Linked DNA regions of Lonchura striata. The protein of the gene in region 3 binds, or shares a complex with, the protein of the main gene of each other region. Links are inferred from orthologs where the notes say so. Each region holds a gene or a part of one and is shown on either strand. Other genes may lie near its edges. The genes, in order: TIMM10B, TIMM10 and TIMM22.

The links.
Region 1: TIMM22 (region 3) and TIMM10B share a complex: the UniProt entries of both Homo sapiens proteins name them as parts of the TIM22 complex. The link is inferred for Lonchura striata from reciprocal best matches to the Homo sapiens genes TIMM22 and TIMM10B.
Region 2: the proteins of TIMM22 (region 3) and TIMM10 are in contact, whole or in part, in a cryo-EM structure (PDB 7CGP), measured with the Homo sapiens proteins. The link is inferred for Lonchura striata from reciprocal best matches to the Homo sapiens genes TIMM22 and TIMM10. Residues at the interface, in NP_037469.2 of Homo sapiens: Tyr25, Ser26, Leu28, Leu29, Gln30, Tyr31, Leu32, Val33, Arg40, Leu42, Leu47, Gly48, Glu67, Glu144, Ser145, Tyr146, Gly148, Ser150; in NP_036588.1 of Homo sapiens: Pro3, Ala6, Gln7, Leu9, Ala10, Ala11, Leu13, Glu14, Val15, Met17, Met18, Ala19, Tyr22, Ser44, Lys45, Gly46, Glu47, Arg53, His62, Glu63, Gly66, Leu69, Thr70, Ser73, Met74.

The regions. Positions count from the first base shown.
Region 1 is NC_134604.1:116,965,546-116,971,488, reverse strand, and holds TIMM10B (mitochondrial import inner membrane translocase subunit Tim10 B), read right to left. Parts: upstream 1,494-5,943; 5' UTR 1,438-1,493; coding exon 1,399-1,437; intron 1,196-1,398; coding exon 1,100-1,195; intron 1,033-1,099; coding exon 835-1,032; 3' UTR 601-834; downstream 1-600. Other genes in the region: RRP8 (ribosomal RNA-processing protein 8), read left to right, coding at 1-40; ARFIP2 (arfaptin-2), read left to right, coding at 2,448-2,546, 2,638-2,746, 3,642-3,752, 4,291-4,406, 4,521-4,742, 5,103-5,260, 5,335-5,509, 5,845-5,943. UniProt on the Homo sapiens protein: Component of the TIM22 complex, a complex that mediates the import and insertion of multi-pass transmembrane proteins into the mitochondrial inner membrane.
Region 2 is NC_134608.1:53,145,179-53,150,889, forward strand, and holds TIMM10 (mitochondrial import inner membrane translocase subunit Tim10), read left to right. Parts: upstream 1-4,117; 5' UTR 4,118-4,272; coding exon 4,273-4,343; intron 4,344-4,848; coding exon 4,849-5,050; 3' UTR 5,051-5,110; downstream 5,111-5,711. Other genes in the region: ubiquitin-conjugating enzyme E2-18 kDa, read left to right, coding at 1-57; SMTNL1 (smoothelin-like protein 1), read right to left, coding at 353-497, 585-736, 811-913, 1,505-1,645, 1,740-1,773, 1,929-2,106, 2,380-2,481.
Region 3 is NC_134622.1:8,103,375-8,110,538, forward strand, and holds TIMM22 (mitochondrial import inner membrane translocase subunit Tim22), read right to left. Parts: upstream 2,568-7,164; 5' UTR 2,542-2,567; coding exon 2,310-2,541; intron 1,961-2,309; coding exon 1,764-1,960; intron 791-1,763; coding exon 602-790; downstream 1-601. UniProt on the Homo sapiens protein: Essential core component of the TIM22 complex, a complex that mediates the import and insertion of multi-pass transmembrane proteins into the mitochondrial inner membrane. In the TIM22 complex, it constitutes the voltage-activated and signal-gated channel.

The DNA.
Region 1 (5,943 bases), on a different chromosome or scaffold from region 3:
CAAGCTGCTGGTGCTGGACTTCGATGTGGACCTTAAGTGACCCCGGCCAGCCCGGGGGTCCCGCGGGAGGGGTGGCCCCGGCGCAGGCGCTGGCCCCCGTGGGCAGGACAGAGGGGAGGTCGGGCCGGGCCTTATTTATATGCGCGGGAGTGCCCGGCCGGGCCTGCAGGAGCATGTTTTGTACACGGAATATATCAATTTATTTCTGTACTGGGGCTTGTGCTTACCTGCCTTAAGGCCTGTCCCGGACCCGCAGCTCACGCCCTCTGCCCAGGGGCTGCAGCAGGGAGAGAAGAGGCCAGGATCTCCTAGGGACCACGCATACACACGCCCTTAGCTGGTGGGCACTGGCCTGGCAGCACCTGACATCTACCCCCACCTTGCCCCCTCCCCCTGCCCTGAGTGCCTGCTCTGCACCTGACAGTTGCAGTGAGAATGTTCAGGGCCCTGCAATGTCCCGGTGATCACGGGCGTCCTGTAGGGAGACATTTGTCTCCCAGTGAGGTGCAATTCCCTGGATTCCCTGTTGTGCCATGGGTTCACACAGCAGCGAACAGGGGCCAGGGCTCTGGTGCCCTCCCCACGTGTCACACTAAGCCATTACTGTGAAGATGTTTTATTGGTATTCACACTCCACTTCCCAGAAATCCACAGCCAGGAGGGCTAGGGGGGGCCTTCCCCTGTTCCTGTGCCCCCCATCCTCGGTGCCCTGCATAGCCCAGCCGCTGCTCGGGGCTCCGGGGGCCCAGCGCGGATGCTGCTCCAGCCTGGAGCTCCAGCGCAGCAGGGCTGCTGCTGCGTCCGACGGCCGCGGGGAGCTGCGGCCAGGGGCTTCTACGTGCCGGCAGCGGGAGCGTCTTCCGCGGGGCCCGGGGCCGGTCCAGGGGAGGCCGGCAGTGCGGGCGGCCCCGCCGCAGCGCCGTGCTCGGCTGCGCGGCGCTGCAGCAGCGCCGGCACCAGTCCCACGTAGGCGCCCATCAGGCGGTGGTTGGCGCGGACCAGCCTCGCGGCGCAGCTGTCCAGGCACGACTCCTGCGGGGCACGGCGGGGGTCAGGGGGCGCGGGGGCAGCCGGCCCGCGGCCCCCGGGCCCCGCTCACCTCGCGGCCCGTGAGCAGCCGGTAGTTGAGGTTGCAGACGCAGTGGCGGAAGCAGAGCTCGGTCATGCGGTTGTAGACCAGCAGGAAATCCCGCAGCTGGGGAGCAGGCGCGGATCACACCGGGCGGAGCCGCTCCGGTACCCCCGAAACCCACCGCGAGTCCCGGCGCGCCCCCCGGCCAGCCCGAGTCCCTTCCAGGGCCCCGCCGGCTCTCCTGCGACCCCGGCACCTCGCGACCCCCCAGCTGGAGCCCCGGGACCCCCCCGAAGGCCTGGCGGGACACGCCGCCCCCGGCTCACGCTGCGGAGCTGCTGCCGGTGCTCGGCCGCCGGGTCCATGCCGGGCCCGGCCCGGGCCGCTCCCGCCGCACTCCCCGCGCCGTCACATCCGCCCGGCTCAGCCATGACGCCACCTCCGGGCCCTGACGGCACTTGCGGCGCGCCCGGGCCGAGCGGAGCGGGAGCGGCGCGGGGGGCCCGGCGGGGCCGGGGCGCAGGTGGGGCTGGGGGGCACCGGGGGGCCGCGCACGGCCAGCGGGGCCTGGCCGAGAGAGCCCCGGGAGCCGGGCTGCGGCCGCCGCCGCCCGCTCGGGCCGGCTCCGCCGGGAGCGGCCACCGGGGGTTCCCTCGGAGGTCGGTCCCGTCCCGGGGCCTTGCCGTGCGTGGCTGCGGAGGGCTCCGTGCGGGCGCTGCCCCCGCCCGCCGCGGGGGCTGTGGGGCTGCGGGGCCGTTCCGCGGCCGGGATGGCCCCGGGCGGTGACAGCCTCTGCCCGCAGGGCTCGCCCCCCGCGCTGGGCCGGGCCCTGTCCCCGCCGGGGAGGGCACAGGTCGCAGGTAACGGGTTCTCGGGAGCCCGCCCCGGGCCCCGCCTGCTGTCGAATGTGCCCGGACCGGTCCGAGCGCAGCGGGCCCCCTCCCGCTCTCCTGCGGACGTGGCTCCCGGCGCCGCGCTGCGCGCTGCCAGCGCCGCTGTCCCGGGGCACGGACTGCGGGGATCCCGGCAGGGTTCGTGAGAGGGGGCACGGAGTGCGGCCCGAGGGGCGGGGGAGCCCTGGAGCCCTGGCGTGATGGTGTGGGAGCCGCAGCGGTCTCTGGGATGTGCCACCCCACGGGTCGGTTCTGGGGGCCGGGGGTGTCCCGAGAGACGGTGGGGCCGGGCTGGGAGTGGCTGCAGGAGGCAGCGGGCAGCCTCTGCTCGGTGCCAGCGGCTGCCGATGTGGGCCCTTCTCTCTGCGCCGAAGCCTCCTGCTGTCCCAACACGGCCCCGCAGTACCGGCTGTGGCTGCTGCCCCCGGCCGGGCGGTGGTCCTGGCCCCAGCACCACGGCCGTGTCCCTGCAGGCCCTGAGGATGTCGGACGGGATCCTGAGCAAGGCAGCCACCATGGAGATCCCCATCAGCAGCAACGGGGACACCAGCAGCCTGCCCGAGGACGATGGCCTGGAGCAGGTCTGGAGCTCGGGAACCCTAGGGGGTGTTTGGGTTGTACCAGGGCTGTGCCATCTCTGCCTCTCAGCCCCTGTGCTATTCTGCCCCCCAGGACCTGCAGCAGGTGATGGTGTCAGGACCCAACCTGAATGAGACCAGCATTGTGTCAGGTGGCTACGGGGGCACGGCTGAGGGCATCATCCCCACCGGCACCATCAAAGGTAGTGGAGTTGGGCTGGGAGGGAATGGGGCCATCGTGGGACCAAGGGGCTCATCTCTTCTCAGTGCCCCTGACTCATGACACGAGGCTGTGCCACAGCCTGGCCGAGGTGGCTCCTGGGTGGGCTTGGGTTCTGTGTAGGGGCAGCATGTGGCAGTGTGCACTGATGGCAGAGGAGGGGCTGCTGCCCCAGCTCCGCTCTCCCTGGGCTGCTCCCCTGTCACAGGGTGGGCTCTGCTGGGAATTTCCATCCCCTTGGTCAGGACATCCCCGTGAGATTCTGAATCCCTGCTTGGTGGAGGATCCCTGCTGTGTCCTGGTCCATGTGCAGCGGGAGCTCTGGAGTGTGCTGGGGATGAGGGGGCAGGCAGGGGCACAAGCCCACACTCTGCTGACCCCTTCTTGCTGTCCCAGTCAGACCGGGCCACAGCGGGGCCAGCTGGGCTCTGCACCCTGGGAGACCTGGCAGCACTGTCCTTGTTCCATGCAGATCTCTCCCTGAGAGATCTTCCCCAGGGCCTGAGGAAGGTCCATATGGGCAGAGAGGGAGACTGCACGGGTGTGCACTTCCCCGGAGCACCGCCACTGCTGGCCCGGTGTCCCTGTGTCTCTGTGTCCCAGCGTGCTCGTGATGCCAGGCCTACCCAGCCCTTGGAGTGCAGGGGTTCCTGCACAGGGGCCAGAGGTGGGGGTTTCCTGGGCTGGGGCATCCGTCTGTGAGGCTGTGGCAGTGTCTCTGGGTTCCAACGCTCACCTGCTGCCGTCGCTCTCCCGCTGCCGCCCGCCCGCGCACTCGCCCCTGTCCCTTGCCCCCCCGTCCCTCTGCCCTGGCTACCCCACTGTGCCATGCCCTGTGCCCCCATCCTGTCCTGCCCCACACTGCTCAGCCCCCGCAGCCCCCCCATTTCCAGGCTCTCTTGTCCACCCTCACCCCCCCCGAGGACCGTCGGTTGCCCCCAGCGCGCCTGCTGCCCGTAGGATGGCCCGCCCGGCCGCGGCTCCCGCAGGTACTGCGCCCCCCACTCCACCCCGGGCGTCCCTTGGGTCTGGGGGCCCCGGGCCTCCCTAGGGACGTTGGTAAGAACCCCCATGGCGGCTGTGTCATGGCCAGAGCCTGGTCCTGGGGCTGATCCTTGTGCTGGGACAGACGACAGCACTGGTGGGCCCAGGGGTTTCAGAGGTGGGTCCTGGCCAGAGGGGCCCACCCTGCCCCTGGAGCCCACCTGAGGGGCTCCCAGTACTACTGGGCAGTGTTCCCCCTGTGTCCAGCCTGGTGACAGCAGTCGGCAGGAATGGGGCAGGGCTTGGTGCAAGCAGATATGGCTGGGCTGGGATCTGTGCCCCTGTGTGGGACCCTCAGGGGGGCTGGCAGGAGCAGGGTCCTCATCACAATGCCTGTGAGCCAGTGCTGGGCATATGCCTGGAGCTGGGCATGCTGTTGTAGAAATAGCAGCTCCAGGACAAGGGCTCTGGAGGCTGGGGCTGCCCGTTCCCCGTGGCTGCCGCCCTCGTGCAGCTGGTGCCATATTCCTGTCCCTGTGCCAGGCCCTGGGCTGCACCCACCACCCCCAGGACCCCCGCCTGGTGGAGAAGAGGTCGTGCGCGGCATTGCCGTTGAGAAGTTCGACATTGTCAAGAAGTGGGGGATCAACACCTACAAGGTGAGTGTGAGGGGACACCAGTGGGCCTTCCTGCTCCCCTCCCATGAGGAGCTGCTCTCGGTGTGGCTCGGGGGACTCACAGGCGCCTTGGGGCCCTGTGTCCCCCTGCTGCAGTGCACCAAGCAGCTGCTCTCGGAGCGCTTCGGCCGGGGGTCCCGCACAGTGGACCTGGAGCTGGAGACCCAGATTGAGCTGCTGCGTGAGACCAAACGCAAGTACGAGAGCGTCCTGCACCTGGCACGGGCGCTCACGGCCCACCTCTACAGCCTCGTACAGACCCAGCACGCCCTGGGGGACGCCTTTGCTGACCTCAGTCAGAAATCCCCTGAGCTCCAGGTGTGCCAGGGCTAGGGGGATGCTGGGGTGAGGGCAAGGACACCTGGGCACCAGGGCTGCGGGAGGATGGGGAGCACCCAGACTTGGAGGGGACACCTGGACACTGGCACTGGGCGGGGCAGGTGTAGCTGGGGTTTGACACTGGGGTTGTGGGGGTCAGGACTTGGGGAGTCACACTTGGACACCAGGGCAGCAACGTGATCTGCACAGGAGTGGCTGTTGTGCTGGTGCTGGCCTCGGTGGTGCTGCGTCATGCTTGGCCTTGGTGGTCTCGGGGCTTTTCCCCCAGCACCCTTGACAGAAGGGAGTGGGGATGTGATCCGTGGCCCTTCACCTGTGCCCCCATCCCTCTGTCCCCAGGAGGAGTTTGGGTACAACGCGGAGACGCAGAAGCTGCTGTGCAAGAACGGGGAGACGCTGCTGGGCGCCGTTAACTTCTTTGTGTCCAGCATCAATACGCTGGTCAACAAGACCATGGAGGACACGCTCATGACAGTGAAGCAGTATGAGACGGCCAGGTGGGCCAGCCCTGGGGGGCTCAGGGCTCCGGGGAGGGCTGGAGGCAGGTCGGTGATGCCGGGACTCTGCGCAGGTTGGAGTATGACGCGTACCGCACGGACCTGGAGGAGCTGAGCATGGGCCCGCGCGACGCCGGCGCTGTGAGCCGCCTGGACGCTGCCCAGAGCCAGTTCCAGAGCCACAAGGACAAGTACGAGAAGCTGCGGGCAGACGTGGCCATCAAGCTCAAATTCTTGGAGGAGAACAAGGTGGGTGCAGACATGGGAGGTGTGGGGTGGGGATGGGGGGCACAGGAATGCTAGATGCAAGACAGAGGTGGGGCATGCAGAGATGGGGCACATGAGGAGGAGGGGTTTGGGACAGGGATGGGAGGGAAGTGCAAAGATAGGGGGCACAGGGATGGGGTCCCTGCAGGGATTTGACATCCACGCTGCATTTGTCACTCGAAGACACGAACTGGGTGGAACAGACAGTGCAGAGGGGGAGTGGTGGCACTCGGGGGGCCTCAGAGGGCTTTCCAAGCCCTTTTCTGTGCTGCTGGGGTGGGCTCAGGCCCTCCCAGTCATGATCCCCTCCCCCCCAGATCAAGGTGATGCACAAGCAACTGCTGCTGTTCCACAACGCCATCTCTGCGTACTTTGCTGGGAACCAGCAGCAGCTTGAGCAGACCCTCAAGCAGTTC
Region 2 (5,711 bases), on a different chromosome or scaffold from region 3:
CGGGCAGAGGAACACGCCCGGCTCCACGCCGAGCCGCGCCCCGACCCCCACGCATAAAGCAATAAATTCTCTCCATCACCTGCTCTGGCTCCGTGGTGCCTCACTGGGAAAGTGGGGGGGCTCCAGGAGTTGCTGCCCTCCACGTGCCAGCCCTGCGGGATGTCACCCTCCTGGTGGCAGAGCCAGGGCTGTGCCCCAACCTGGTGACAATGCCCAGACACTCGCTTGGTGCCAGCGTTCCTCCCTCCAGAGACGAAGCCACCACCTCCTGGAACCATGGCCTTTACTGCTGGGGGACAGAGCAGGGGACGAGGAGGGGGATGGTTCAGGCGGGGGGCTGTGAGGGACCCTCTCAGCGCTTCTTGGTCTTCACGAGCCCTTTGGCCACCAGGCAGCGGTACAGCTCCTGCACGTACGTGTACACACACTTGGCGTCGGGCACCGGCAGCCGCACCATGTCCTCCACCTCCAGCAGGGGGGCACAGCCCGCCCGCTCCCTGCGGGAAGGGACACAGCGGTCACCGGGGCCGGGGGTGGCCGGGGGTGGCCGGGGGCACCGAGGGGCCGGGGCTGCGCTCACGCACTCGGCAGTGGCGAAGGCCAGGGCGAAGTTGTCCCGGCGGGAGTTGGGCTCCAGGGCGGCGAAGTCGAAGGCGTCGGGGAAGAAGCTGTGCAGGAGCGCGCAGAAGGCCAGGCCGCTGCCCCAGCTCCCCGAAAAGTTCTGCACGTCCACGTGCTGCGCAGACAGGGGTGTCAGGCCACGCCCGGACCCCCCACCGGACCCTCCTGCCGCCCCCCAGATGCACTCACCGGGTACCCACGGGTGCGGGCGCGGCACCACTCCAGCAGCATCATCTTGACCGTGGCAGCCCCCCCTGAGCGCCGCAGGTGTGGGGCTGGGCCCTTGGCAGCCCTGGGGAGACCTGGGCTGTGGGATCCCCACACCCCACCGTCCCTCATAGGGACCCCAGCCCCTCTGTGACCCCGTGGCTTTGGACCCCCAACGCCCCACTTGCCCCATGGTCACACAGCCCCCCCTGTCCCACCCCCCCACAGTGCTCTATGGACCCCCCATTCCTCCCTGTACCCCTCATTGCCCCATGCCCCCCGATATCCCGTGTCCCATACCCTCCCTCATTGCCTCATGCCCCCCGATATCCCGTGTCCCATACCCTCCCTCATTGCCCCATGCCCCCCAATATCCCGTGTCCCATGCCCTCCCTCACTGCCCCATGTTCCCCCTGTACCACCATTGCCCCTCAGACCCCCAGTTCCCTTATGACTCCATTGCCCTGTGCCCCCAATACTGCCACTCTCCCATGCCCCTGCCATGCCCCCCAATTTCCCCTGTCCCTCCCATTGCCTCATGACCTTCCAACACCCCCACTACTCCATGACCCATCCATCTCACTGTCCCTGGCTGTCCTACAGCCCCCACAAGACCCCAGGTCCCCCATTCCCTCAATGCCTCTCCTGCCCCCCCACAGGGCCAGGCCCTCCTCACCCTCCAAACTTCTCCAGGATGGCGCTGCGCCCCTGTGCCCGGGTCCCCACTCGTGGCCGTCCCCCTGCTCCCTCCAGCCTCAGCCTCTGTCCCGCTGAACCGGGGGCTGCCTTGTCCCGCGTCCCCCCTGCTGGAGCACCCCTGCAGACACACACGGGTGGGACAGCCATGAGCAGGAGGCTGTGGGGGGCCATCCCTGCCGTGGGGTACTGGGATGCCACCTGTGGGGACACACCTCTTGCTGCCCCCCGTGTCCTCGGCAGTGCCAGCTGCAAGGAGAGAGGAGGGGTCAGAGGGTGGAAGAGGGCACCCACACCCCCCTGGCACCTCTGGGGCTCAAGGTCCCCTCCCAAGAGGAGGATGGACACTGTGGGGCAGCAGTGACCCCAGAACACTTGGGTGCCATCGCCCAAATGTCTCTTACCTGTGGGGGACGCTGGGGATGCTGGGGACACAGGGGACATAGGGGATGTGGGAGATATAGGGGACATGGGGGACGTAGGGGACGTGGGGGACGTGGGGCTGGTGGCCCCCTCTGGGGATGAGCAGGGAGGGAACTCAGGCCACAGCTCATCGTCCTCGTCCTGAAGCCAAGTGGGTTCCTGTAAGGAACAGGCAGGGTGGCACTGCCAGCACGGTCAGTGTCACTCACACAATGTCCCTGGCACAGTCATCCTGGCCCTGGCACTCTCACCCTGCCCCAGTAAAGTCAACTCTGTCCCCATCTGTACCGCAGCTGCCCTCCCCACCACCTCCTGCCCCGGTTGTGCCGCCACCTCCCTTCCAGCCCCTCCTCACCTTTTGACGCCGGGTGTTGCCAGTTGCTGCCGGGGCCGCTTTTCCCTCGGTACCCTCCTCGGTCCCCTCCTCGGTACCCGCTCCGGTGCCCCCGGCTGTCCCTGCCTCGGCATCACCACCACCATCCCCGGCCTCTCCGGCATCGTCCCCGGCACCCCTGGGTGCTTCTGCCCCGCCATCCCCGGCAGCCTCTCCCCCCGCGCACCTCCCTGAGCCCCCCGTATCCTCCCCTTCACCCCCCGTGTTCTTCCCTTCACCCCCCGTGTCCCCCGCATCGCCCCCCGCTTCCCGAGCTTCCTCCCCATCCCGGGGAGCCGTCGCCTCCCCGCTGCTCTCCCCCGGCCCCGCGGCGGGGTCAGAGGGGGTGTCCGGAGTGGGGCTACTGGGGGTGGGGGTGCCGGGGGTGGGCGTGCCGGGGGTGGGGGTCTCCGAGGTGGGGGTGCTCGCGGTGGGGGTGTCCGAGGTGGGGGTCTCAGCGTCTCCCAGAGCCTCCATGTTGCTGCGGTCACTGCTGCAGGGGCACAGGGCTCGATGACGCCGTGGGCTTGCCCGTGCCCCCCATAGCCCCCCAGGCCGGCTAACCCCCCTCCTGCCCCTGCCCCCACGCCCTCCTCCAGCCCCGGCACTCCCACATTGGGCACCCCAGTTACCCCACCCCGACTCCCCCATGCCCCGTCCCGGCACCGCCACAGCACAGCCCGGTCCCTTCACGTCTTCCTGCAGCCCCCCACGCCCCAAACCAGCCCTCCCACTGCCCTCATGCCCCGTGTCAACACCCCTGTGCTCCCTCCTGCCCCCGTGTCCCATCTCGACCACCCATATCTCATCCCGGCACCGGCACGTCCCTCTCCCGGCCCCTCGTGTCTTCTCCGTGCCCTCCGGTTCCCGCTGCCGGCCCCCTATAACCCGTTCCCGGTCTCCCTTGCTGCCCGCCGGTCTCCTGCCCGGTGCCCCCCAGCCCGCAGGCTCCCGGCCGCTCCCGTTCCACCCCCGCCTGGCGTGGCCCCGTTGTTCCCGGAATCCCCCGGAGCCCCTCGGCCCGTACCCTCCGGCTGCTGCCGCTCCGCCGCCCCTGCTGCGCCCCAGCCCCCCCGCCCGGCGCTATTTTTACCCGGCGGGGGCAGGTGCCGCCTTCACTCACCGCCCACCCGCGGGGCACGCGTGGGGCCGGGCCGGACACCCGGCCATGGCTGGGGCGGGGGGACAGTCCCATAGCCCCACCCGGACAGCGGCGACACCCCAAAGCAGCCACCGGGTGGGGACCGAACCGTGCCACCCGAGGGGCACAGAGGACACGGACGCCCTGGGCAGGGACAGGGAGACTTGGGGGTCACAGGCAGACGGACGAGGGGGGGAACACAGACACGCGGGGGACACGCGGGGGATACGGGCACACGCGGGACGTGGGGAGCGCGGGGGGAACAGATTCCCGAGGGGCAATGGGGGACACAGACACGTGGGGACACAGATGACACGGGGACAGCCCGGGCAGGACGGCGGGACACAGGAGGACCCAGGGACACGAGGAACGGGACACAGGGGAGGGACCCGAAGCCCCCCGGCCGTGCCCGGGTGAGGTCCCGGCGGTGGCCACGCCCCCTCCCGCCAGGCCACGCCCCCTCCTCGTGACCACGCCCCCTGCGGGGCAAAGGCCGGGCAGAGCGCGCGCTCCGCCGCTCCCTCCCGCCGCTCGGCAGCCGCCGCCACGCCCCTTCCGAGGGACCAATCAGCGACAGATGCGCACCCCTGGTCCCGCCTCCGCCTGCACGCGATTGGTCAGCGCCGGCGCCGGGGCGGGGCCAGCGCGCGGGTGGGCGGAAGCGCGGCGCCCACGTGGTTCCTGCAGGGAGCCGCCGCCGGGTCCCGAACCGAGCGGGACCGAGCCGGTCCAACGGGGCGGATCCGAGCGGGGTCGGGCCCAGAGGGACCGCCATCGGGGCTGAATCCGAACGGGGCCGGTGCTGGCCGCTATGGATCCGCTGCGGGCTCAGCAGCTGGCGGCCGAACTGGAGGTTGAGATGATGGCCGACATGTATAATCGGTGAGGCCCGCCGGGAGGGAGCATTGGGGGCGTTGGGGTACCGTGGCTTGGGGGACACTAGCGCGTGTCAGAGGCAGTGGGGGACCCCGGGGTGCTGGGGTTGTAGGGGAGTGCGGGGGTCCTAGGGGACACCCGGGAAATGGGGAAGGAAACCGGAGATGCCTGAGGATGTGGGACGGCGGGGGGTCCTAGGGGTGCCCGGGTGGTGATGATGGAGGATACTGGGCTTGTTGGGGTGCAGAGGCCGGGGTCCCGGTCGGTGAGGATGCGGGTACAGGAGGTGTTGGGGTGCAAGGGCTGGGGATGCCGGGGATGGCGATAACGGGGGGTACGGGGGGTGCTGAGCTGCGGGGCTGGGTCCCGGGGGTGGTGATGGCAGGGTACCGGAGATGTTGGGGTGCGGGGTCGGGGTCCTGGGGGTGGCAATGGCGGGGTACAGGGTGTGCTGGGGTGCGGGGCCGGGTCCCGGCTGGCGCGGGGCTCAGGCGCGGTGCGGTCCGTGCAGGATGACCAAGGCGTGCCACCGCAAGTGTGTCCCCCCGCACTACAAGGAGTCGGAGCTGTCCAAAGGGGAATGCGTGTGCCTGGACCGCTGCGTGGCCAAGTACCTGGAGGTGCACGAGCGGATGGGGAAGAAGCTGACGGAGCTGTCGCTGCAGGACGAGGAGCTGCTCAAGCGAATGCAGCAGGGCAGTGGCACTGCCTGAGCCCCCACCCGTCACCCCAATAAACCTGGGGCATCTGCTGTGCTCCCCTCGCCTCCCAAACCCACCCTGTGGCCATGTGTTGGGGTACGTGCTGCCCGTGATTGCTGCTGGGAGCCCCCCCTTGTTGTCACCAGCTGCCACGTGCCATGTCCTTGTGGGGGGCACCCAAGGGTGCCCCCCCTGGCTGGGCCCAGCCCGTGTAATCCCCTGGATTAGGTAGAGCTGGGTTGAGCCCCTTGTAATCCCCAGTGGGGTGGGACAGGGCTCAGCCCCTCCCTGTCTGTCTGTGCTGAGGGTCACCAGAGGGGACAGCCAAGGACCCTGCACAGGGACACACAGCCCCCGAGGGGCAGGGCACAGGGACACTCCCAGAACACCCAGCCCTGTTTGAGGATACACAGATGGGACCACGTGGGGACAACCCAGGTACACCTCTGCCTGGGAAAGACCACAGGGGAGGGGGCATGGGGACACTCACATGGGGACAGTCTGCACCCACACAGACGGACACCGCCACACAGCCCCGGGGACACTTGGAGGGGACATAAACACCCAGCGAGTTACACCTGCTGAAGGACACCCCACGCTGCGCGAGGGACACCTGCCGAGGGGCAGCCCGGGGTGCCACACGCCCAGAGGCACCGAGGGCAGGGGGTGGGCG
Region 3 (7,164 bases):
CTGACAGCTCTAATAGGATTAGGTCTAGGACAGACACAACTTAACAAGCTCAATTAGAAGCACTTTTAAAAGCTTTCTTTTAATTTATGCTCCATAAAACAGAACAGTTTTTTTTCTTAAGGAGAGTGAGAGAAGTTTGCTATTTCTGATGAGCAGAGCAGCTCTCTCCTACTTAGGCATTTTTCCAGATGTTACCACTAAAGGAAAAGTCTCCACTAGTGCTGCTGGACTAAAACCCCACTTCTTGTTTACACGTAAGTAGAATTGTCTGTTTGAACTGATACTTGAGAAAGAAGAAAAGCATTTCACATGTGGTACAAAAGAAGAGAGTTCTTTAGTTCTAATTTCAAAGGAGAGTACTAATTTCAAAGCAGAGACAGTGAAATGGTAGATGTGTAGAGCTCAGTTAGCACGAGAGCTTCTGTATGTATTTTTGGCTCTCTCCCATGACACCACAGAAAAGTGTGGACAGCCACCACCATCTCCTGACTTTCTTTCAAGTGAATTTTGTTGATTTTCCTCTATGACCAACCCTTCCTTATCCCCACTTATTCTTGGAGCTGACAGTTCTGCCAGTCTGGAGCACACTCTCATGCTGGCATCACCACAACCCCATGCAAAGAGGTTTGTGGTGTGTGTGCTGCACTAAGAACATCGTGTGCTGCATAACCAACTTCAATCTTATCACAGAAACAGTTCCCAGCAGGCAGCACCAACCTCTGAAGCCGATGGCTCCTCCTGTGATGCAGCCACTGATAACGCTGTTCTTCCAGTCTGACTTCCCACGATACTGTGGAATTACAAATCAGAGCCAACAAGTAAATATGGAATAAATACTCGGTATCTCTGCTAGCAGCAAGGTTAAACGACCTTCTTCCATCCCCTTCTCAGCTGAGGATGTTCTTCCCTCTGCTCTCAGCAGATGGCCCTGCACTCCCAGCCTTGCAGGGCCGGGAAGGGAGGAAGGAGCAGGTAACTGGGAGAGGTGAGACAAATCCATACGGTGCAATGCAGTGCTGTGGCAAAGATCCTCAGGAGAGCCAGGACAGCCCCCAGAACACAGCCCTGAGTCTAAAAGTGCAATAACTACATCAGAGCAGCCCTGGTCCTTGGCACAGGTGAGTCACAGCAGCTGCTGACAAAGGTGGACTATTTCCATAGCCAGGACATGCTGGATTTTCACCAGTGCACAGATCTCTTTGTTCTGCTCCATTGTGCAAGCAGATATGGTTTTCTTCTAGATGAGTTAAGAAGTAATTGTGCCTTTCAATTAAAAGACAGGACTCAAATTCGTAACAGGGTAATTTTCCTATTAAAAAAAACCCCAGATGATAGATTTACCACTGAGCTGCAAAAGGTCATTTCTGACTGTAGGGGCCAGATGAAAACTGGCCTGTTACTCAAGAACTTGCATCAAATGATCCCTTTTTACATATGGAATTTTTAGACACTCAAATTACCATGTTGCAACTCACAGTTTGACATTTTACACAAGCACTTGTAGCTAGGCTTTAAAAAGTAATGCCTATGCTTGCCAATACATTTAGGACTTAAAACTGAAAAGGACTTTGCTATTGCAAAAGTGTTCTTCATTCTGTCAGAGAACAGCAGCTCTGAAGACAGATCTCAAAGCTGAAAAGCTTTGCTGGCCAAGAAAGAACAAAGCAGCCCATTCCAGGATATATGTACTTATTTGGATCTAGCAAAAGATGTTAAAGAGTACCAGAAATCATTTTTTAATGGTTGGGTAGGCTCTTACTCACAGATTCTACCACGCATTCCGTGCAGGAGAACATGGCACCCACGATGGCGAAGTTCTTGGCGTAGGAGATGCCTCGCTGCCCCATGTCCTTGAGCACCTCTTTGGCCGTGGGCGTGCGATAGGGATCCTTGGGATCAAACCCCACGTTGGTGTCAATGCCAGCTGTGAAGATACCGAACGCACCTCCCAGAACAAATCCTGTGGAAGATAAACAGCGGAATTAACAGGGCTGGGTTGGAGCAGCACATTCCCTGCAGGGAGTGAGGCGGCTCTGCTCCTGCTGTGCGTGAGCGCTGCACTGTGACAGGGCAGGAATCTCTCGGTGCCATGGCCACTTGTGACAGCCCGTGCTGTGTGAGGAAAGCCGTGAGCGCCTGTGCCTCGCCAAGGAAGGCAGACACAGATCCCTGCCTGCGACATGTGACAGGCACGGGAGGAAAATCAAACACGGGGACTGCAGCCTCTTCTCCATCCTTCCCTTTCCCGACCCCACAGGGACCCCCGAACGACCCCACAGGTGCCCGCCCCGTCCTTCCAGCGGCCGCACCTCCCACGCAAGCCAGCGCCGCCTTGAAGGGGCAGCTCTCCATGACCCGCTCCACCATCTTCTGCTCCTCGCTCTTGGGCGGGCAGGGGATTCCGCCGAGGATGGCGGGGTCCCAGACGCGGGGCTGCCGCTTGTCGCCCACGAGGTGCTGCAGCAGGAGGCTGTACTGCAGCGGCGGCGGCGGCGGCGGCGGTGCCGGCTCTCCCGGCGCTGAGGGCGGCGGGGCCGCCATGATGGGCTCGCACACCCTCGGCGCCGCGTCCGGGCCCGCTAGAGCCGCCGCGGCGGGGGCGCACGGGAGTTGTAGTTCCGCAGCGGGGAGAAGCCTGTTGCGCACCGCTACGCTTTGACTACACCTCCCAGTCTGCCCCGCGCCGGCACCTCCGGACAGAACTACCACTCCCGGCACGTTCCGCGGCGCGCCGCGGGGATTGGCCGTCCCGGGCATGCAGGGGACTACATTACCCGGCGTGCCGCGCAGCAGCCCCCTGGCGGCCGGTGCAGGTGAGGTGAGGGCTCCGGCTGCGGAGCATCCCCGAGCGCGGCGGCGGCTGCAGGTGAGCGCGGGGCGCTGAGGGCAGCGCGGGGGGACCGGCTGGGCCGGGGAGAACCGGCAGCGTCGCGCCGGGCGTCCCCGTGCTGGGGGAGCGTTGAGGTGCCGCAGTGCGGGACGCGGTCCCTGTGCCCTGGCTGAGGTGCGGGCAGCGGGCGCGGTGTCCCCGCCGGCGGTGTCTGAGGGCAACAGGTCCCGCGCGGGGCGTGGGGTGGCCGTGCCCGCAGGGTCCCGGCGGGGCTCTGAGGGCACGGGGGATGCCCGCGGTCCCGGCGGGGCTCTGAGGGCACGGGGGATGCCCGCAGGGTCCCGGCGGGGCTCTGAGGGCACGGGGGATGCCCGCAGGGTCCCGGCGGGGCTCTGAGGGCACGGGGGATGCCCGCGGTCCCGGCGGGGCTCTGAGGGCACGGGGGATGCCCGCGGTCCCGGCGGGGCAGCACGGCCCAGGGCACCGCAGCCTGGCAAGGGCTGTGCCCCGCCGGAGCCCCGGGACAGCTCGGTCTCCTCTGGCGCAGGGCAGCGGTGTTGTTTCGGGACATGTGCGCTGAAAATACCCACAGTGTTCCATCACAAAATGCTCGTGTCAAATCACGGACAACCCCAAGCTCTGGGGGGCTTGTTCCGTTTGGTGATAAGGTGAGAAATGTTGCTTTTCCTTTTTGGTAAGCAAGGTGCAGTGAGCATTAAAAAAGTCTATGTTCCTTGCTTGTGTTTCTTTTTTTTCTTCACCTCTTTTACTTTCTTGTTCTTGTGGACTACAGCCAGTTTTCATCTTCAAAAGTGACAATTGGTGTGCCTTAAAAATATCTTTCTTCTTATTTGATATTTTTCTATTTTAAGTAACCCATAGGTTTTAAAATCTATGAGAAATAGTTTTCTTGGTTTCAATAGGATGCATGGAATTGTTGTATTTCAGTAATTGAAAATTATTTAAAAAATTAAGTAAATGATGCATTGGTATGAAATCATCCTGATACCCTGAAACACGACTTTTTAGAGGTCCTAAACTAATAAATTTTCTTTTCCATTTTGATCCTTTTTTCTCTATCTTGCTTAAATCTTTCTGTAGGTAGGTTCAAATAAAAATTTAAATGGATAATTTTATCACTTCAAATACTTCATCAGACGAAGTTCAACAACTTTCCTGTAAATCCCACTGCCCTCTGCTGGCTGCACCAGCAGGGCCCACCTGCCCACTGCTATTCCCTCTTTTGCTTTTTTTTTTTCGTCCTTGGGGTTTTTTTAATAATGGAGTTTTTTGTTTGTTTGGGATTTTTGTTTATTTGTTTGGGAGTATTCCTCCCACCTTTTCTTTATTTTTTTTTTTTTTTAATTTTTTTGAGGTCAAATCCCATGAAAAAGCACGTGGTTAAAATCTACTCCAGCAGCATCTTGACAAGGTAGGGGAGGTTGCTGGCAGGATGATCTCCCTAAGGAACCCTCAACTTAAGATTTCAATCTTTTTGATCCAAAATAACCTTGCTGGGATGATGTCGAAGTCACACAGCAAAGCCTAATTTCTAAAGGCCTAAAGGGAAAAAAACATATATGTTGGATTGGGAATTTCAGCACTGAGAGTTTATATGTATAGTTTAAATATTGCTTTGACTTTATTTGCCCTTTCCCTGCATTTTGGAGAAAATGCTGGGTTACTAGTTGTAAATAAAATATTTAAGCAAGAATTTTGTAAATATGATTCTATAAAATATACTTATTTATGGATATTAATGTGTAATTAGATGTTATTTTTTTCCCTTCGATATTTAATAGTTTTCTCCTCTTCCCATTCTGTTCTACACATGAACAAATTCTGGTGCTTGAGTATTTGAATAATCTCATCTGCCTGAACAGATTTTTCGTGTAGGTGAAATCAGATGGAGGATTAAGGATTTGAGAGGTAATATGAGAGTTCAACACCTTTGATAAACAAGATGCTGAAATGAAACTTTCAGCTGGTTCTTTTTTCCAAGCCTGTGAACCTCCATCACTGCAGGGTGATGCATCCAACCCTCTTCCTTCTCCCTGACTGCTGTCCCTAAGCCACTCTTTTACCCTGGAGCTCTTCAGTCCGGTGCAAGAGCTCAGGTTATTTTTAACCTTGCCCAGTCCCACAAAATGAAACATTTTGAATTCGGGCAGCAGCGGGCACAGATGATCCCGAGTTTTTGTGCTGCTCCAAGGAGCTCGGTGCCTGTTTCAGCAGAGGGCAGCACACGGTGACACTGAATAATTGCAATTCACTTGACCTTTGCAGTGACTCAGTGACTCCCACGCTTCAGTCTTCTCCAGACAGGATAAATCTTGGAAATAATGAGGGGTTTGTCAGAAATCCTGGTTTTGCATATGTCTTGGTTGCAGGGTTCCCAGGTTTTGAATAGACTCTAGCAGTGCTATTAAAAAAATAAAAATCAGTTTTTACAGTCCCCAACTTTTATTTTGTCAAACTGCCAGTTCCAGAGTGTTTTCTGAAGTTATTCAGCTGGTCAAGAAGTGACTGAAGGTGGAAGTCAACCAGAATTAGATCAAATGCATTCTTTTTCACTCATTCTTACCTGTGGACACTTTTTTATCCTTATCAGAACTGTCATGATGTAGGGGTGAATGACAGAGGACATAAATTAATGGGTACTTTAATGGAAAAAGGAAAAACGTTTAATTTCTATAAGCAGAAGAAAGTGGGGCTTCTTTGAGGTGCTCACACTGCTGATCTCACTTGTTGTGTACAAAGAGGTTTCCAGTGGCTGCAAAAGGGAAGGTGCTGGGACCTGCTGGGCTTCATTTCCACCCTTTGGCATTCTCATCTATACATTAAATTTCATCCTTTCCTACTTCTCCTTGACCTTGTGAATGTGATGTTTTGTATTTTTTTTCTTCTTTAAAAAACTAAGTTTGGAAGTGTACTGGAGAAGTGAAGTGCTTTGTGAAATACATCTTATTTCAGTGAAGGAAAGCTGCTTCAGCTTCTACACTTTCCTTGGCTTTTGAGTTTAGCAAATTTATTTGGTTGAGAGTGCAGCAGGGCTTTTTTTTTCTTCTGAAGTTTTTTTTGTTTCCTAAAGCTTTCAGTATTGGAAAATACTGTGTCACTACCATGGCAAACAGCTAAAGTACTAAGAAAAAGGTTAGGTTATAGGTAGGTGGCAGGTGTATTGGAGTTAAAACTCAAAAGGAATCCTGACTCACTGATTTTCCAATTTTTTTTTGGGTTTTTTTTGCTTTAGTTCAGTATAAAATAGGCTGCAGAGAGAGATCTTGGGCTAAAATCTCTTTTTAGGATCAGCAGACTCGTTCCTTGTGACTGTGCTTTGTAGCTCAGAGAGAAGGAACAGGATGTGGCTTTTCAAGATGAGTGTTTGATCCTGTCTGCTCTCTCCAGTGTTTTAGATCTCAAAGTCTGCATCCCTTTTGAAAGTAGGTGGTTTCTTTGTGTTTGTTCCACTTCAGCAAGGTACTTCTTCTCTTCACAGTTTACCCAATATTACACATATTTTTGTTTTCATCTATAAAATTTAAAACACACTTGTGTGGTCTAAAAAAAAGTTTCAGGCATCATCATCTTCCAGGGCTTTCAGCTGTTGCTATAGAAGCCTAAATTCTCTTTGAGAGACCTTTCCAATAGAAAGAAGTTGATACTGCAGGAAAGTTGTCATGGAAATATGCAGCAAAAAGAGAAAGGAAATCTCAGTTTGATGACTGTAACACAGGCTTAGGCAGCCTGGTGAAGTGGCTCCCTAACTGGAGATCTGCTTCTGCAGATTCTCTTGGCTGTGTTGTAGTGGATTGGAAAGCTGTGGACTCAGACCTAAAGAAATAAATTATTTAATGTTTGTATAACCAAACAAACCTCTTCAACTCAGAAAGCTTTATCCAGATTTGAGTTTCCAGGTGATGGCAGACCAGGAGATTCCCAGCAGCCTGGCTCTAATGGGGGATGGAGCTGTGGCACAGCTATTTCTTATATTTCTGGCAATGACCACTCTGAAAGGATTTATTGAAGTACCATGATTGAAATGAGTCTTTCAGAATAATTTTTTAAGTTGACAAACTAAAAATAGTTTATTCTGCAAGCTTCAGTGCCATTCCAGATTTGAACAGGAGCCCTTTGTGTCCAGCTAAACAATGGGATAAGCAGATCCCTCCCTATAAATTTCTTATACCATCACCAAGCCTGGAAGGCTCCCTGGTTTCAAGCTTTTTGTGCCTCTCTTACTAAAGCCTCCTGATATCTAGTGAATGTGATTATGAGTGAGCTGCCTTTAAATATCTATTACCAGAGTCACCATGGTAACTGCTGTAAGAATT